Arabidopsis thaliana: one gene and its partner. The protein of the gene in region 1 interacts with the protein of each later gene in a pairwise test. Each region holds a gene or a part of one and is shown in the gene's direction. Other genes may lie near its edges.

Region 1 (8,765 bases):
AATTAATGAGTGATTAATTAGTCGGCTGACTTTCTTATTCATAATATCTTCTGATCATATTTGTGAATCGTAATTGTTTTGCTTTTTAGATTTGTCAAATATGCACAACACCTTTTAACTATCAATTCGTTTTCTTTTCTGTTTAGTCTTTGATATATAGTTTTCTTGATATTTTGATTGGTTTACTAATTACTACAAGCAGGCCGATACTTTTAGTTATTTATATTTTACGAGGGAAAATTATGGTCAATGAACATATTCTAGTTAAAACATAAAAAGATATCACATATATAAGTAATTAAAATATAAAATTTTGTCATTTGTAAATATGTTTGGGCGAAAATGTTTGGACATCCCATAGGTTTTATGTGGCTATGCGTAAAGTTTCTAATAGTTAGACTAATCAACGTTCCTAAGAGATCATCAGAACTAGTTACACCTTACACGTAACGTTAATGATTCGTCTAAACTAAGAGACGATAATTAGCCACAATAGAAAATACTATATTTTGATTTTTGAGAAGTTTTATCTTCATAAAGCTTAGACATTTGAAAAAGAATAGTAAGATTATAACAAATATATTTTACAATTTTCAATATATACTAAGAAAGATGAATTTGCCTAAACTCAAAATTAATATGTGTAAGAATTTTTATAATTGGTTTTCTCCATTTCTTTTAACAAAATCATATGTATATTCAAATATACTACCTGGCAATTATTATATGCATGCTTATGTTGGTTTATGTAATAACTTGGATTTATTTTGTTACACTCAATTTCTATAAAACACAAATTTGAGATTTTTAAAAAATATTTATTTAAAATATCTTCATAATAATTCGAATTTACTTTTATATTATTTTTTTCTTTTGTATTCTCTAATTCAATTATATTTTTAACGTTACCATATATATATATATATATATATATATATATATATTACGCTGGTCCTAATTAGTAGTATAATCTATGTAACACCGTATATTTTGATTCTTTGAACAGCTTATATGAATAATCATCACATAAGAAGGAGCCTTCTTCATCACTATTCACTACATATAAAAATTCGTTTCAGAAAAAAAAGATCAATGTTCTGTCCACATCAGAGTATCAAAATAATTTTCTAAATTTAGTGCTACATCTTTTAACGACAATTGTATGTCAATGAGATAACTCCAATGGTGGAAACAAAAGAGAAGCATTACAAATTTGCTTTTATATATCTATAAAGCACTGTAACTATGGTTTTATAAATAATAATATCAAACTGGTAACTCATTCAAGAGTCACAGAGGAGAAAAAACAATCCATCTGTTTCATAAAAAAAGCAGTTGGATTCTATTATATCATGTGGATCTCGTGAACTACCATAGAGCCATGGATTAATCACTGTCATTCTGTCAATAATAATTCTATCTATTTATTATTCTGTTGTCACATATGTACAAAATATATGTAAACTTCTCAGTTCTGTCTGAATCGCTGAAATTTTCGCTAAATGTGCAATTAATTTCCCGATCGCTTGAAGTTAACAGTTACGACGAGAAACTGACGTCACTTTTTAATTATTGTAAAGAATGAAAAAGAGTGTTCGTATAGGGTAATTGTATTATTGTAAAAAACTATGTATCCAAACACAATAAATACACGAACAACATTTATTTTCACTCACTTTGATCACTGTACGTAATAAGGAAAAACATTTTATTTGAATGAATATTTGTACAGATTGGAGAACCACGTAAGCCCATCTCTTTTATTTCCAAAAATAACGAAAAATTCTCAAAGGGAATAGTTTATAATGTAAATAAAATTCCAAAAATAAAACACAAAAGATATAAAGCAGCAAGAGAAAAAAAAAGTCCATGCTTTCATATTCATTGCTTTAATCTCTCTCTCTCTCTCAGACATAGACACAGCTAAGCTTCCCATCTGAAAGGAGTTTCATGTCCTAAGGACCATATTATAACCTCTCTATCTCTCTCTAAGTATCAGCAAAAAAACAGAGATTTATAGAGAGAGAAAAAAACTATGGCTCACATAAAGATCTAACAGAGACAGTAGTATAGTCCCACTTCCCCACCACCAAAGCTTCGATCATCATCATCATCATCATCATGGATCCGGATCCGGATCATAACCATCGACCCAACTTCCCTCTCCAGCTTCTTGATTCTTCTACCTCCTCCTCTTCCACTTCCTTAGCCATCATCTCTACTACTTCCGAACCTAACTCCGAACCTAAGAAGCCTCCTCCTAAACGAACCTCTACTAAAGACCGACACACCAAAGTCGAAGGCCGAGGCCGTCGGATCCGTATGCCTGCCATGTGTGCTGCACGTGTCTTTCAGCTCACACGTGAGCTTGGTCACAAATCCGACGGTGAAACTATTGAGTGGCTACTCCAACAAGCAGAACCAGCGGTTATAGCCGCTACAGGGACTGGAACCATTCCGGCTAACTTCACTTCTTTAAACATCTCACTTCGTAGCTCAAGATCTTCTCTCTCTGCTGCTCATCTTCGTACAACTCCTAGTAGCTATTACTTTCATTCACCACATCAGTCCATGACTCATCATCTTCAACATCAGCATCAGGTTCGTCCCAAGAACGAGTCACATTCTTCGTCTTCTTCTTCTTCACAGCTTTTAGATCACAACCAAATGGGTAACTATCTAGTACAATCAACTGCTGGATCTTTACCTACGAGTCAGAGTCCTGCAACGGCACCGTTTTGGAGTAGTGGTGACAACACACAGAATCTTTGGGCTTTTAATATTAATCCTCATCATTCCGGTGTTGTCGCCGGAGATGTTTACAACCCCAACAGTGGTGGTAGTGGCGGCGGTAGTGGAGTTCATTTGATGAATTTTGCAGCTCCTATTGCTTTGTTTTCTGGACAGCCTTTGGCTTCTGGTTATGGAGGAGGAGGAGGTGGCGGTGGAGAACATAGCCATTATGGAGTTTTAGCGGCGTTGAATGCTGCTTACCGACCGGTGGCGGAGACGGGGAACCATAACAACAACCAGCAAAACCGTGACGGAGATCATCATCACAACCATCAAGAAGATGGAAGCACCAGTCATCATTCCTAGGCAAACATACACAAACAAATATATTCTGTGAGATTTATTTTTCTTTTTTTGTCCTTTCGTTTGTTTGTTTGTTCTTAACAAGCGTGTTTTTTTTGCATTGCTTCTTTTTCATATATTTTTATTTATTTCTAAATTCTAATATTCTACGGATTTCATCTTGTTTATTTTTCTGATTAATGTATTGAGTAAGTAATTAAGAACCTGATAATCGATATGTTTTAGTTTGTGGTTTTTGCATGCAAGGCTTTGGTTTTATTATTCTAGAGATTTTTGCTTGAAGTAGTTGTCTTGTGAAATGTTTTCCTCATTACTATTGAGTGTGAGAGTTTTCTAATACTTGATTAGGGTTTTTGAACAATTTTTATATATGTATATTAATTCAGTACGGATTATCAATAAATTATTTCGCATGCCAAATTATTATCTTCCACTTCGTTCATGGTTACATTGTCTCGAAGAAGCTACATCTTATGCATTGTGAGCAATTATTCAGGTTCTAGCTATCTCTTTTAATATGTTAATTTCTTTGCATGATTAACATCTTACTCCTGACTGGTCTATTGGTGACTATGCTAAGATAATGTAGATATATATAGTAACAAAATCATATAGGTCAAAGCATTAAGTGTGATTGTTTTGGTTAATTATAAGTGTGTTGACGAGGGGATGCATTGTAGATATGATGCCATATTAATGCCAGTAGGTTTATGCGCATGGTGGTTTGGATACGTTCAATTTATAGCCGTTGCAAAAATTGAAGGCATTTAATTTTGCTAATGATATTACCAAAATTATTTGATTATGAATCAAAAGATACAAGGAGAATTATCAAAAAAAAAATATATAGGTCCATTATCCGTATAAGGTAGCTAAGAACTTAATTAGTCTGGTGCTATGTTTGAAGACTCACGTACGATTTACAATCTCTGGATCTATGAAACTCATCACCAAGCAGGAACCTGTATTTATACGTCAATATTTGTGAATTTTCGGATACCCAAAAAATACCAAGAATATATATTTCATTTTCTGCTGAAAATCAGAGAAAAATGTGTTTTAAAAACAATGTCTATAAACAAATTTATAGATTGAAGTTAGAACTAAAAACTTTTGATGGTTATAGATTTCAGCTTGATCATTTATTTCTGAAGTGTTTTCGTTGGATGAAACATAGATTATATATGTCTATAATTAATTGAGACATATACATTGATGATATACAAAATAACCAGGAATTTTTCGTTATACAGAAAAATACACAAGTCTATGTAACATGCGTAATAACCATATGGTCCATATCGCTGCATTTTGTGTCGGTCTACATTATTGGATTTATTTTAGTATAATGTATGTGATACGTTCTTACCATGCATGGGTATACATAGAGAAAGGTGTATAAATCAACGAGCATGGGAATTATGACGTTAATAATTCTAAAATAATGCACACACATCCTGTTAATATAAACAATATAAATTATATATCAGTTTATTATGGAAATAATACTTGAAACTTCTATAGATCGGTGTGAACCATTCCTTGACATCATAGGCATGTCGGTTATATAACCTCATCCATATGTTCTATCAATTAATCAAATATGGTAATTAAAGAAAGTCAAATATTGTGACATACATGCATTTTTTTTTACTAACGGTTGATATCAAGCATTTATAGACGAACGTCTATTTGATGATCTCAATAATCATATCAATTGGCGGCTAAACTAAACTAGATTTCACGATGACAAAAGTAAAATGTATATATAGACACTAAAACACAGATGATGTCATGAATCTTTTTTGATATTTGTATATTATTGTTTACGTATTACTTTCTAGATAAACAATAAGATACGAGTCATGACCGATCATTGTTTCTATGTCGGCGTTTTATTTTATAGTAAAAAGAAATCTGCAACAAAAGGAAAGGGCACAACAAGTAGATCAAGTAGTAGTAATCTGGCATTACTCAATAGGTCCAAAAGGAATTAAAATGTTCACTAAAGTATGCTTAAAATATAGATGTATGGATCTACGTAGTTATAAGTAGTTAAGTACCATTATAGAAGAGTGTATTCATGTGGGTTCTTTGTTTTTGATCTGGAAAAGATTAGATGATCATCATTCCATCACTTGCTTATCTATTTTGTTTAATCATTCTTCTTCTTCACTATAATCATTCTATATATTTCTGGAAGATATCATGATAAAGAAGATATATTTATCTATAATCACAAAATGTTTTGAACCTTTTCATTTATGAAAGAAAAAGAACTAATTAGATGATACTTTTCTAAGTTCCAGCCCAGTTTGGATAGTGAATATATTTTCTCCATCCCCATTGATTGGTATTGATGGGCTAGATATATGACATGGGATCTCATAAGGCCTATTTATTAAATGTTTTGTAAGGCCCACGTATTGGGCTAAGAGAAAAAAAAAAGAGAGTACTCAAGTATAGGTTTGTGTTTTTCAAGGCAAAAGTCAAAGTATTGTCTAGAGACACTGGCACTTGATAGATTAGACGCATAATGTATTCAACATAATCAATTTAGAATAAAAATTACAAAATGTAGTATAGTAAAGAGTTATACTAATAGTTTTTTTTTAGAAGTATATAAGACCAATTAAAGGAAATAAATCGCAATTAATATTCTACTTTTGTTTAGTAAGGAAATAAAATTATCGACAGTAATGAGTAAAATTTTCGGTACCTCTTCATCCATTTTTCTTTTTACCTAAAATTTGAAAGTAAAAAAAAAGAAAAGAAGCGAGTGGTCATAAAAGTCCAAGAAGTCTCTGTAAGTGAAACCTGGCCTCCACTTTTGTTTTTCCACTTCTACGGTAAGTGAAAGAGAGAGAGAGAGAGGAAAAAAAAGGGGAAAGCTTAAGATATTGGAGAGTAACAATGCCTTCAAATTCAGGAGATGATAATGTTCTTCAAGTTCTCATAAAGAACTTTGATGTCCTTGCTCTGTAAATCTCTCTCCCTCTCTGCCTCTTCTTTAATTTCTCTTTACAGATCCTATCTTGATATTTTGTGTGTGTGTTAATTAGATCCTATCTAGTTTCTTTAGTTTTATTGCTAACTGGGTTTAGCTACATTGTCTACTTAGATTCTTGAAAATGAAACCCTCTTTAGATTAGTACTAATTTTTTGGAGTTTTTGTTTTTGAACGGAATCTTGAAAGTTGAAACTTACAACATTTTTGCTTTTGCAGCCCATTGGTTACACTCGTCTATCCTCTGTAAGTAAAACCAATCTCTCTCATATATACATTTGTGTGTTAAATCTGTTGCATCAGTTGATAGAGATTTTATTGTAAGCAAAACTCACATTTTTAGGCCAATCTTTAGTTCAGATTCATATGAACATTAGAAATTTTTGTGGAAAAAGAATCAAAAACTTAACCTTTTGAAACATTTGATCCTCTGTCATTAAGGAATAATTAAAAAAGAGTACGAATCTTGACTTAGATAGATGCACGTATATCCACACACACCCACTTAGAATCCAAGACACGAGGCATTACACTTTTGTATGTATTCAATTATTTATTACAAAAAAATATGAGAAAACTAATTATGTTTGTGAAAAAAATGAACAGATATGCATCAGTGAAAGCAATAGAGACAAGATCATTACCAGAAGATGAACAATGGCTTACTTACTGGGTTCTTTACGCACTTATCTCTCTCTTTGAACTCACTTTCTCCAAACCTCTCGAGTGGTTAGTGAATTCATTAACACTTTTAATATCTTCTTAACATGTATTCATCATAATATTAGTTTTTGTTTTTGTTATCATAAGGTTTCCTATATGGCCATACATGAAGTTGTTTGGGATCTGTTGGTTAGTGTTACCACAATTCAATGGAGCAGAACATATCTACAAACATTTCATTAGACCATTCTACAGAGATCCTCAAAGAGCTACCACCAAAATTTGGTATGTTCCTCACAAGAAATTCAATTTCTTCCCTAAACGCGACGACGACGACATTCTCACTGCTGCTGAAAAATACATGGAACAACACGGTACCGAAGCGTTTGAGCGAATGATCGTTAAGGTAAGTAAAATTCACATTGACATTTACATAATCATTTTCATATGTAATGTACATTTGGTAATGAATGTTGTGTTTTGTGAATGCAGAAGGATAGTTATGAAAGAGGTAGGAGTAGTAGAGGAATCAATAATCACATGATCTTTGATGATGACTATAGGTACTAATAAGTTCTTAAACCGGTTTAATTAGCTACTTTCAGTTTATAAGTTTGCTATGTGACAATATATTGTCTGTTTCTATGGTTGTTATAATTTGCGTGGATTATGTATAAGCCCTTATTTAGGACTGCTTATTTTTGTGAAAAATCAAATAAACATTTTCTCTCCTTTGCGTGTGTAAGCAAACTTAAAGTCAAAATTAGTGGGCCAAGCTCTGTCCAGTTTTACACTTAGATGATTAGACTATTCAATTATTTAACGAGTTGGGCTTGTAACAAAATGGGCCGGGCTTAGATAATTATTAATGATATGCGAATTTTGAAAGGAGCTAATGATGAAATAAAAATTTGAATAAACGGGAGCGAAGCAGAAGCGTAGGTTCTCAAATCACGAATAGCCTCTCGAATCATCGCCGGCGATCGACGTTGGTACTGCTTCTACGTCCGGCGAGGATATTTTCTGGATTCTGTTCTTTCGCTATTGATCAATCATAGAGATTCTTCATTGAGGTTTTTCAGATTGATTAGGATTTGCTTCGTCTTCGATTTAATCATAATCACGAGGATTTGAAAAATATTGGTGAACAACGATTTGGTGAAGAAGAATTGGAGTATAAATTGTTTGTTTCTGAGGATTCTTCAGAGTGTATTTTCTTGTTGTTTGGTTAATGTGCATTTTGGAGTTGAGAGTTTGGGGGATTTTGAAATCTTAGATTTTGAAGGAGGAAGCTAAAGTAGTAGAATGGGTTAGATAAGAATTAGGAATATGATTGGAAAGACATTCGAGTGATGTTAAACGATTTGGTTGAGAAATATGATTCGAAAGGGAATTAGCTCTTTGCAGCAGCTTCAATGGCTGATTCCTTGAGAACTAGTTTCTCTGAGAGAGACGTTGAACAGGTACTTTACTCTTTTATCACCTTTCTTCTGTTGAAACATTGGAAGATGGAAACTTTTGTTCATATATGCTTAGAATACGCAATTGCTCTGAAGAATCACATTGAGTTTGATGTGTTTATATAACTCACTTTCTACACCTAAGTCATTAAAAATGTTATCTTTTGATGTGATTCCCTTTTAGTGGGTATGGTATTAAGAAGTGTGTCTTTCCTATTCAGGCCATTACGTCACTTAAGAAAGGGTCTTACTTGTTGAAATATGGACGTAGAGGGAAGCCTAAGTTTTGTCCATTCCAGCTCACAAGTGTAAGGTTTTCTTGGACTCCTATGTTTCTCTTTAGAGAGAGAGAACTTTCTGTATTCTTTTGGTTTGCTCAATTATATTACATGTGAATTTGTCATAGGACGAGTCTGCATTAGTATGGTACTCTGGCAAAGAAGAGAAGCAGATTAAACTGAGTCAAGTCCTGAGAATTGTTCCTGGACAACGCACGGTGAGTTTCTCTCTGCAATATTCATGTATGCTCATAAACAAGT
Region 2 (8,864 bases), on another chromosome or scaffold:
TCTTCTAATATTCATTATTACTTTTGAACAAAAATAAAATTCTATGTGTATGCTAATATTTTGATAAAGTAAAAAAGTTCTTTTTATTTAGGCAATGATCTCGAAATCCTCTTCTATATTGCCAATGTTTTGGACCACTAAATACTTGTTGACTCCGTTTTTGTTCATCTGTTTTAAATGTTAGATATAACTTGAGTTTTAAAAAAAAAAAAAATTTTGTTTTTTAATTAATATTATCAGACTTGAGGTTTTTTTTTTAACATTTATTGTGTAGATTTCTAATTATTTGTTTTAAAAATATAACATATTAGATATAATACATAACTATGTCGAGATTTGTTTTCCAATATTCACCATCAACATTATTTTCAATATAATAAGTTTTATATGAAATCCATGGAAAGTTTATATAGGATATTTAGATAAGCTTTTGATTTATTAATAGAAAATTGGATATATATAACGTTCTATGTATCAGATATAATGAGTTCATATAATAAAAAAATTGAAAGGGAAAAGGAAAAATATAAACTAAAATTATCTGACTGGGTTAAAAATAATATTATTTTTTCTTATGGCTCTATTTTAAAACAACAAAATAAGAAAAATACTATACTTGATATAATTTGCTTAGCTAAGAATTCAAAATATAAATTAAACTATCGATTGGGTCAAATTTAGTACCCTTTTCATAAAATCTCTTTTAACATACTATATAGTAAGGATATATACTGCTGGCATAAAATTACTAATGTCTATTTGTAACAGTGGGTATTAGGTAACAACTTTTATAATTAATAGGTTGAAAAATATCTGTTTAATATTAACATATAATATAATTTATAGGTTGAAAAATATCTGTTTAATATAACATATAAAGTATATATATCTATATAATTTGCTTTTAGAAATTGATATATTGAAATGGTTTAACAGCCTGGCAAAAAACTTCAGTAAAATTGTCCACTTTAGTTTGCCAACCGTTGAGGAAAAACAGAGTTATAAACACTTAGTCAAACTAGAAAAAGACTCTTGTCTTTTTGGTATCCATCATCCAATCATAGTTTGACTCAATTAAATCTAAATTATTTGTTTTGTTTCAATAAAATATAAATCAATCTCTTTTCGTCAACACATATATAGTAGCATACTTTTATTTATTTACTGCCTCCTTCACGCATATAAGAAATGAGTTGTTGTTTTCCTAATAATTCTTATTATGGATGCAATTATAATACTGATCAGAAAATATACAATAATTGCCTGTCTAAGAGGTGACGCATGAGAAATATTCAGTGATACTAATAATTTCTGGTGCAAAAATGTTTAAAAGCAATTATGAGTATATATCGTTCTTAATTGCGTCTGGAAACCATGGAACACCAATGAGTCAATACTGTTTTCCCTCTTATGCTAATTATTCCATACTATTTTCTACATATGCATTGAACATTACAACTCAAGGGCAGACGTAGGAGAAAGGGATTGATGCAATCGTAAATTGACAAAAGAATTAAAAAGCCAAAGATCACCTGCAGTTCAAATTCTTTATTATTTTCATTAACCACTCAATAAATTACGTGTTTTTAATTAATTTTACCTAGAAAAAAATATTGTTGACATTATTTGCCTCGACAAAGCTTCACCCAAAATCCAGTCCCTAGTACTTCACATGATAACACGATTTACTCGAGTCAAAATCCGACGTATAAGACTACAAATATAGACCATCAACCATTTGACTAAAGACACCTTTTCTTATATAGAAAATATAAAATTAAAATAAAGATATTAATATGCATATTTTTAACTACAACATCACATATATATTTAGAATATTGTTTTTGATTATATTTTACATTAAAAGAGTAGAATATTGAGGATACTAATTTGACATTCTTCACGGCATATAACATCTAGAAGTTGTAAGGCACATACATACATAGCTTAATTACAATGTGTATTATTATTTACCATGTTTAATTTCAGATTTGTATTTAAAAATTAATTTTTTTTTAATAATTACTTATCAACCTAATATCCTATATGTTTGGGCTGTAGTGAATTTGCAGCCCAATTTGGAGATTTTAAACCCTTAATTTATCTTACAAGACTAGACAACATTTCAACAATAACAACTAAGTTACCAGTTTTACAAGAAAAAGAGAGAGGTTATTTCCCTATAATTATGACTAAAAGAATGTAACTACACGTATAAGTTCCTTTTGTAACACATGTAAATGTAATATAGCAAATGTAAGGAGTACACCACGAATCAGGAAACTTTTGTTTGGCCATTTGTACCATATTACTTGCACATTTGTGGAAATGAGTGTGTGACTATATCTGCATGCGTAAATCAAACACATGTACCTTAAATGATGTAAAACAGTAGATCTATCAATTGTACACATATATATGGATACATCGATGGGTCATTATAGCTCTGAAGTTGATTAGTCGGGCCAAAAATACACCTGATCATCATGATATTCATATATGTATAGATATATAGAGCACATATCACGAAACTCATCTATGTACATATATTTATATGTTTGTGTGAAAAAATAATTCAAAAGATTTATTCATGCATGCAAGTGTCCATCAAAGTAGTACGAATGAATAATTATGAAGGGTTCTTTTGGCACTTTACTAAATGTAATAATGAAAAACAACATTGGTAAGTCAACTCGTGATGATACATTTTTGGTTAATAGAATTTCACAAAAATTGAGTTTTGTTTTTTTGTCACTTTATAATCAGACAGTTCCATATAGTTCACTGGTCCGTCCAATGCAATCTTCTCTTCCAACATGTTTTCTTCCTTTTATCCGTGTAATATCAACACCACTTGGGACTGTTTTTTTTTTCTTTTTCCTTTTTACTTTTGAAATTCATGATGAAAACTAACTAGCAAGTTGATGTGCATATGTATGAAAATACATTTGGACGAATGATCAAATCAAGAAACCTGCTGATAATTTTAGTTAATGACTTTTTTTTTTGTCAACTCATTACAAAGTTCTGGATTTTAAATATTTGCATTTCTCTTGATATTAATGATTCAATTTTGATTGTTTGGAGTTTGGACCATGCGTATGCTGACAACCAAGTTACTCTGGAATTACTCTGGATTTTGGTAGGGATATTCCAGACTAACCCCAAGTTATGAAATAAAAGACATTGAAATCCTCATAAAGAAGGGATAAATAAAGTTTATCTTTTGAACAGTTAATTTGTTTTAACGTAATTTTATCAAACGAAGCGCGAGCTAAAATAAAATGAATAATTGGAAATCTAATTTTTTCAAACACGAACAATAAATATGCATGCATGTCAATCATGTTGACTTCTCCATACCCATAGCTTTAGAGACAAAATGAAATAAATAATTGGTTCTCCAGATAATAATATATAATAATAATTGATAGGGTGTGTCCAAATCCAAGTCTCTTATTAAAAGGGCACATATTCAACTACTCCTCCATAAACACAAAAAGTCCATCCTAAAAAAAGCAAGTAAGAGATAACAATTTCTCTCTTTTTCTTTTCTCTTCTTCAAACTTCAATTCACTAACGAGAGAAATGGGAAGAGCTCCGTGTTGCGACAAGACAAAAGTGAAGCGAGGGCCTTGGTCGCCTGAAGAAGACTCTAAACTTAGAGATTACATTGAAAAGTATGGTAATGGTGGAAATTGGATCTCTTTCCCCCTCAAAGCCGGTAAGTTCATACACATGTTCTTAATCCTAGATAACCTTTTCGAGCTTCTAAGCCCAAATAAGAGCTTATGCCATTCTTTGTTGTGGTTTAAGGTTTGAGGAGATGTGGGAAGAGTTGTAGACTGAGGTGGCTAAACTATTTGAGACCAAACATAAAGCATGGTGACTTCTCTGAGGAAGAAGACAGGATCATTTTTAGTCTCTTCGCTGCCATAGGAAGCAGGTTCTCTAATTAATTCCTTTTGAAATCATCTTTAATCATATAAGATCCTTACAAAAAATGTAGAAATGAAATCATTTTTTCGCCCACTTGCCTGTGAAGGCCCTTTCATAGTTATCTGCTTAGATAGGTTTAAAGAAAATATTAATTCACACTCTCCTTCAATTAATCTTATAATAGTAACAAAATTTCTCCTAAATCTAATTTTGAATTTATGTGTTATTTTGAAGTAATGATCAAAATATTTCCAAACGTGCTTAATTTCTTCATAAATCTAGTCAAAATCACGAGCTACATTGATTCCATGATTTAGTCAAAACTACGAGCAACTTTAATTCATCAAGAGTGCTATACTTTTCTCCAATATTAGCTATTAATATACATCAATTGAAACTTGTAGGTGGTCAATAATAGCAGCTCATCTACCGGGACGAACAGACAACGACATAAAAAACTATTGGAACACAAAGCTAAGGAAGAAACTCTTGTCTTCTTCCTCTGATTCATCATCATCAGCCATGGCTTCTCCTTATCTAAACCCTATTTCTCAGGATGTGAAAAGACCAACCTCACCAACAACAATCCCATCTTCTTCTTACAATCCGTATGCTGAAAACCCTAATCAATACCCAACAAAATCCCTCATCTCCAGCATCAATGGCTTCGAAGCTGGTGACAAACAGATAATTTCCTATATTAACCCTAATTATCCTCAAGATCTCTATCTCTCGGACAGCAACAACAACACCTCGAACGCAAATGGTTTCTTGCTCAACCACAATATGTGTGATCAGTACAAGAACCACACCAGTTTTTCTTCAGACGTCAATGGGATAAGATCAGAGATTATGATGAAGCAAGAAGAGATAATGATGATGATGATGATAGACCACCACATTGACCAGAGGACAAAAGGGTACAATGGGGAATTCACACAAGGGTATTATAATTACTACAATGGGCATGGGGATTTGAAGCAAATGATTAGTGGAACAGGCACTAATTCTAACATAAACATGGGTGGTTCAGGTTCATCTTCTAGTTCGATAAGCAACCTAGCTGAGAACAAAAGCAGTGGTAGCCTCCTACTAGAATACAAATGCTTGCCCTATTTCTACTCCTAGTTCTTCTAGACTCTCTTGTCTTCTTATATAAATATATCTTGGACTGACTGTTAGTAATATCAAAGATTTGATGGGGTATGGGAGGAGAGAGAATGAGATAGAGAGCGACTATGATCAGTTTTATGGGATTTTGTATTTTTTTTTTGTTTATTTATCTCTCTTTATTGGATTTCTAGTTAAGAAGAGACAATGTTAATGGGACTATGGGAGATTTGATTTGATGAAACCCAAAAGGATGTAAGAGTAGATCTTCGTTTTGGTCGAGAAGAGTAGATCATTTCAGCTTTCAGATAAAACTAAGAACAAAGTATGTGATCTATACATACGAACGACTATACACACACACACGCCCACACACATATATAGCATTTTATTGTTTCTATAATTAGATGAGACTATTACCATTATATGTGTATGCTATATATAGCAAACAAAATCGTATATACACGCACTTTTTTAGTTAAAGATATATACGCACTTGCAAGACATATATATGTTTTATTGTTAACAACACATATGCTAAAGAACTAAACTTCCAAACTGAAATGTCCGATAGATAAATAATTTGTAGCGAATGATCTTACTATTTTATATATAATGTTTTAACATAAAACCTATGAAAGATATATTTTATTTAATCCTAATTGTATATTTAGAGTCAATATAGTTAAATTGTTGAAAGTAAACCTGGGCAAAAAAACCGAACCCAATATCCAAACTGATACTCGAACAAAAAAACCGGGTTGAGAAGATCTAGAGTTGAAAATTATTTTACTGAATAGAGTTTTAGTAAACATGTGGGTATCGGGCCAGTCCGTAAATTATCCATTACCCAAACATATAATTTTAATATACAAAATATTAATTATATTTAATTTTACTATAATCTAATATCTAAACTTATAATTATAAATCTAAATCTCTCAATTAATTTTAAACCTAAATACCCAAAGCAACTAAACTATATAAAAATTATTTATCCTATTTGTCAAAATTTTATAAAAAATATTCAAATATAATTAAATTTATTATAAATTAACAAAATAACTACATTAAAAAATATAGTAAGATATCTAAAACCCGAATCCAAATGAGTTATCTATATTCTCAGCCCTAGTTGAAACTATATTTTAAATAAATCATAGTATAACTAATTAAGAATATTTTAAGGAGATTTGGTACATATGTTTATGTCTAAATTGTTCCTTTTATAACTACAAATAGATTTTAGTTAAATCGAATATATCAAGTACAAATATTTTATACGACTTTAATAACATGATGAAATTTGCGTTGAAATATTTTGATTTTTTTTTGGTAACTTTATATTACGGGGTCTCTTGGTGGAAGTTTAGAGACCGTTTGTAAATTAATATTCATAGTAAAATTGTTCTGACCATTTCTTTTTTGTAAAAATAATATATTTTCTAATGACTACCAACAGCTAACCAGGACCTGCGTTGCATCACAACGTTCAAATGAAGAAACTTTTAGTTGAGAACTGTATAAACATTATGAAGCGGTATAAAATAGTTTCCATGATTATTGTTAAACATGTATAACTATATAATTAATTTAATATATAATTAAATAATTATATATATAACGTTTGCACAGAGAGTTGCAACAAAACTAATCAAACCCTTAAATCAATGAGAAACTAAAAAAACTAAATCAAAAGAAGACCTTAATTTTTCCCATGATTTTATTTTCCAATTCTTTGTAATATCAAATTCCACGAGATAAAGTTTTTAGATGGGATAACTTGTAAGAAGTCTTTGTTTCCAGTAGACTATCTGTTCATTATAAAGAGTACTACACACTACAATATATAGGCATATATAGAAATATCTGTATTATTTGTCGTTGTGTTGTTTGTATTCTCTTTTTGAGAACCGGTCTAAAGTTTTGAGAGGCCTAAATTAAATAACGAGCAAAATGTAAAGATTGTGTATAGTTGTCTATAGAGAAAGAGAAGGAAAGGATTGTGTATAAAAGTCATCACCTTTGGTCAGTAACTCGAGCGGCCAGGAGAAATTGATTGATGGAAATGCAGATACTATTCATTTGTGAAAATGACATATATACCCTTCCCAGATGGTTCATCTTTTCCTTCAGCACATATCCTTCGATTACTATTATTCTCTGCTTTTTCTTGTAAGAAAATTTACTAAAAGTAAGAAAAAGTAAGGTAGGGACAATAACGTTACACGTCGGTCTAATACAACGTTACATATGGTAAAATAAATAGAAAGGATCGAATATATAAAATATTTGAGACTTTATAAAACAAATAATGTTTAACTGACTTTAATAAATAGATCATATTCTGATATTCATCTTAAAAAAGAGATTTATATTCATCTAAACTTTAAGCGAACGGAAGAGTTGAAACGAAATGGAGGGATGCCACCAACCAAGCTCAAGATCTCTCTCTCGGATGGTTAGTGGACCCTTAGTATGTGGTCGATATATTAAGCTTTTGGTCCAAAAAAGAATTGGGACTTATAAGCCCATAGGCCCTTTAATTTGTGTAGAAATTGTTCATCTTACTTCATGACAAACAATCAACTCTCTAAAAACTTGATTATGTATGGATTTTGATAATAATTCCCTTCAAATTGCAAGTGGAAGAATACGTAAAAACATAATATTAAGAAACTTTAATTCAGCATGAAGAAAAAAGTTGGTAAACATAGCAGTGAACTCTATGAATCTTTAACCATGGAATTTCAAGAGATTCCACCAAAAACACTTCAAGTTATTCTATGAGGAAATAAAAATACTGGAGGACCGTATAACAACCTACATGCAAGTTAAGAGTTTTCAACAATTACCCATATCCAATCGTCACAAGATCCGTATCCAATCCTTCTATTTTTAGTTTCTATAAATTTTATTATAAGCTATAATTTTAAATGAAGTACTAGATTTTAACCCGCGGTACACCGCGGGGACAATTAATTTTTTAATATATATAAAAGTTTGCAAATTGTATCTATATATAAAATATTTTTATTTTAAAGTTTACAATTGTTATTAAGTAATGTCCTGTCAAACTCGTCCCGTAAAAAACCTATTTATTTTATTAATGTTGATTTTATTTATGATATGTTTATAAATCATTGTATAAATATTTTGTAATTTTGTAGTAATTAACTGCTATCAAATATTTATGCAGTTTGATGCTTATAATCGAATTGTTATAATCATGAAAAAAGCAATATCAAAAATGATAATTTTGTAGTGTTTAAATGATATTAAATATTTTGGAAGTTTTATTTTAGTAACTAATTGTGTAGTTAATGTGGAGAGATTTCGGGAAGATAGTTAAATATCAAATATTTAATTCGAAGATTTACTTTCTAATTATCAAAAATAATTATTAAATATTAGTGGCAACCACTGTAAATAAGTCCCAACTTGAAGATTTATTTCACAAAATGGCTGCAAAAATGTATATATAGATACTAATTTTGGATGAATTTCATTAAATTCACTTGTATATTTTTTTATTATAACGTAAAATAATTTAGTTACAATTTTATATAATTAGGATCCAATCCCTCTATTTTAGTATCTATAAGTTTTAATGTTTTATTAATGTAAAATAATTTAGATATAATTTAATTATTAGTATCTAATTTTTTATTATAATATAAAATAGTTTTTTTTGTTTTTTTTGGCAAAAAATGTAAAATAGTTTATTTATTACTTTAAATTAGTATCCAATCCCACAGCACTGTATGGCTGAAGTTATCCACAACTCACCTACCTATACAAGCATACACGTGATG

The links. The genes of interacting proteins can lie anywhere in the genome.
Region 2: the proteins of TCP15 (region 1) and MYB37 interact in binary tests that used the Arabidopsis thaliana proteins (3 or more experiments, as listed by UniProt).

What each region holds. Positions count from the first base shown.
Region 1 is NC_003070.9:26,214,328-26,223,092, forward strand, and holds TCP15 (TCP family transcription factor), read left to right. Parts: upstream 1-1,681; 5' UTR 1,682-2,121; coding exon 2,122-3,099; 3' UTR 3,100-3,744; downstream 3,745-8,765. Other genes in the region: HVA22C (HVA22 homologue C), read left to right, coding at 6,010-6,077, 6,323-6,349, 6,710-6,832, 6,914-7,172, 7,259-7,336; AT1G69710 (Regulator of chromosome condensation (RCC1) family with FYVE zinc finger domain-containing protein), read left to right, coding at 7,998-8,018, 8,164-8,229, 8,448-8,534, 8,633-8,722. UniProt on the Arabidopsis thaliana protein: Transcription factor involved the regulation of plant development. Together with TCP14, modulates plant stature by promoting cell division in young internodes. Represses cell proliferation in developing leaf blade and specific floral tissues.
Region 2 is NC_003076.8:7,692,646-7,701,509, forward strand, and holds MYB37 (myb domain protein 37), read left to right. Parts: upstream 1-3,489; 5' UTR 3,490-3,588; coding exon 3,589-3,724; intron 3,725-3,816; coding exon 3,817-3,946; intron 3,947-4,343; coding exon 4,344-5,067; 3' UTR 5,068-5,377; downstream 5,378-8,864. UniProt on the Arabidopsis thaliana protein: Transcription activator of genes involved in the regulation of meristematic competence, such as CUC2.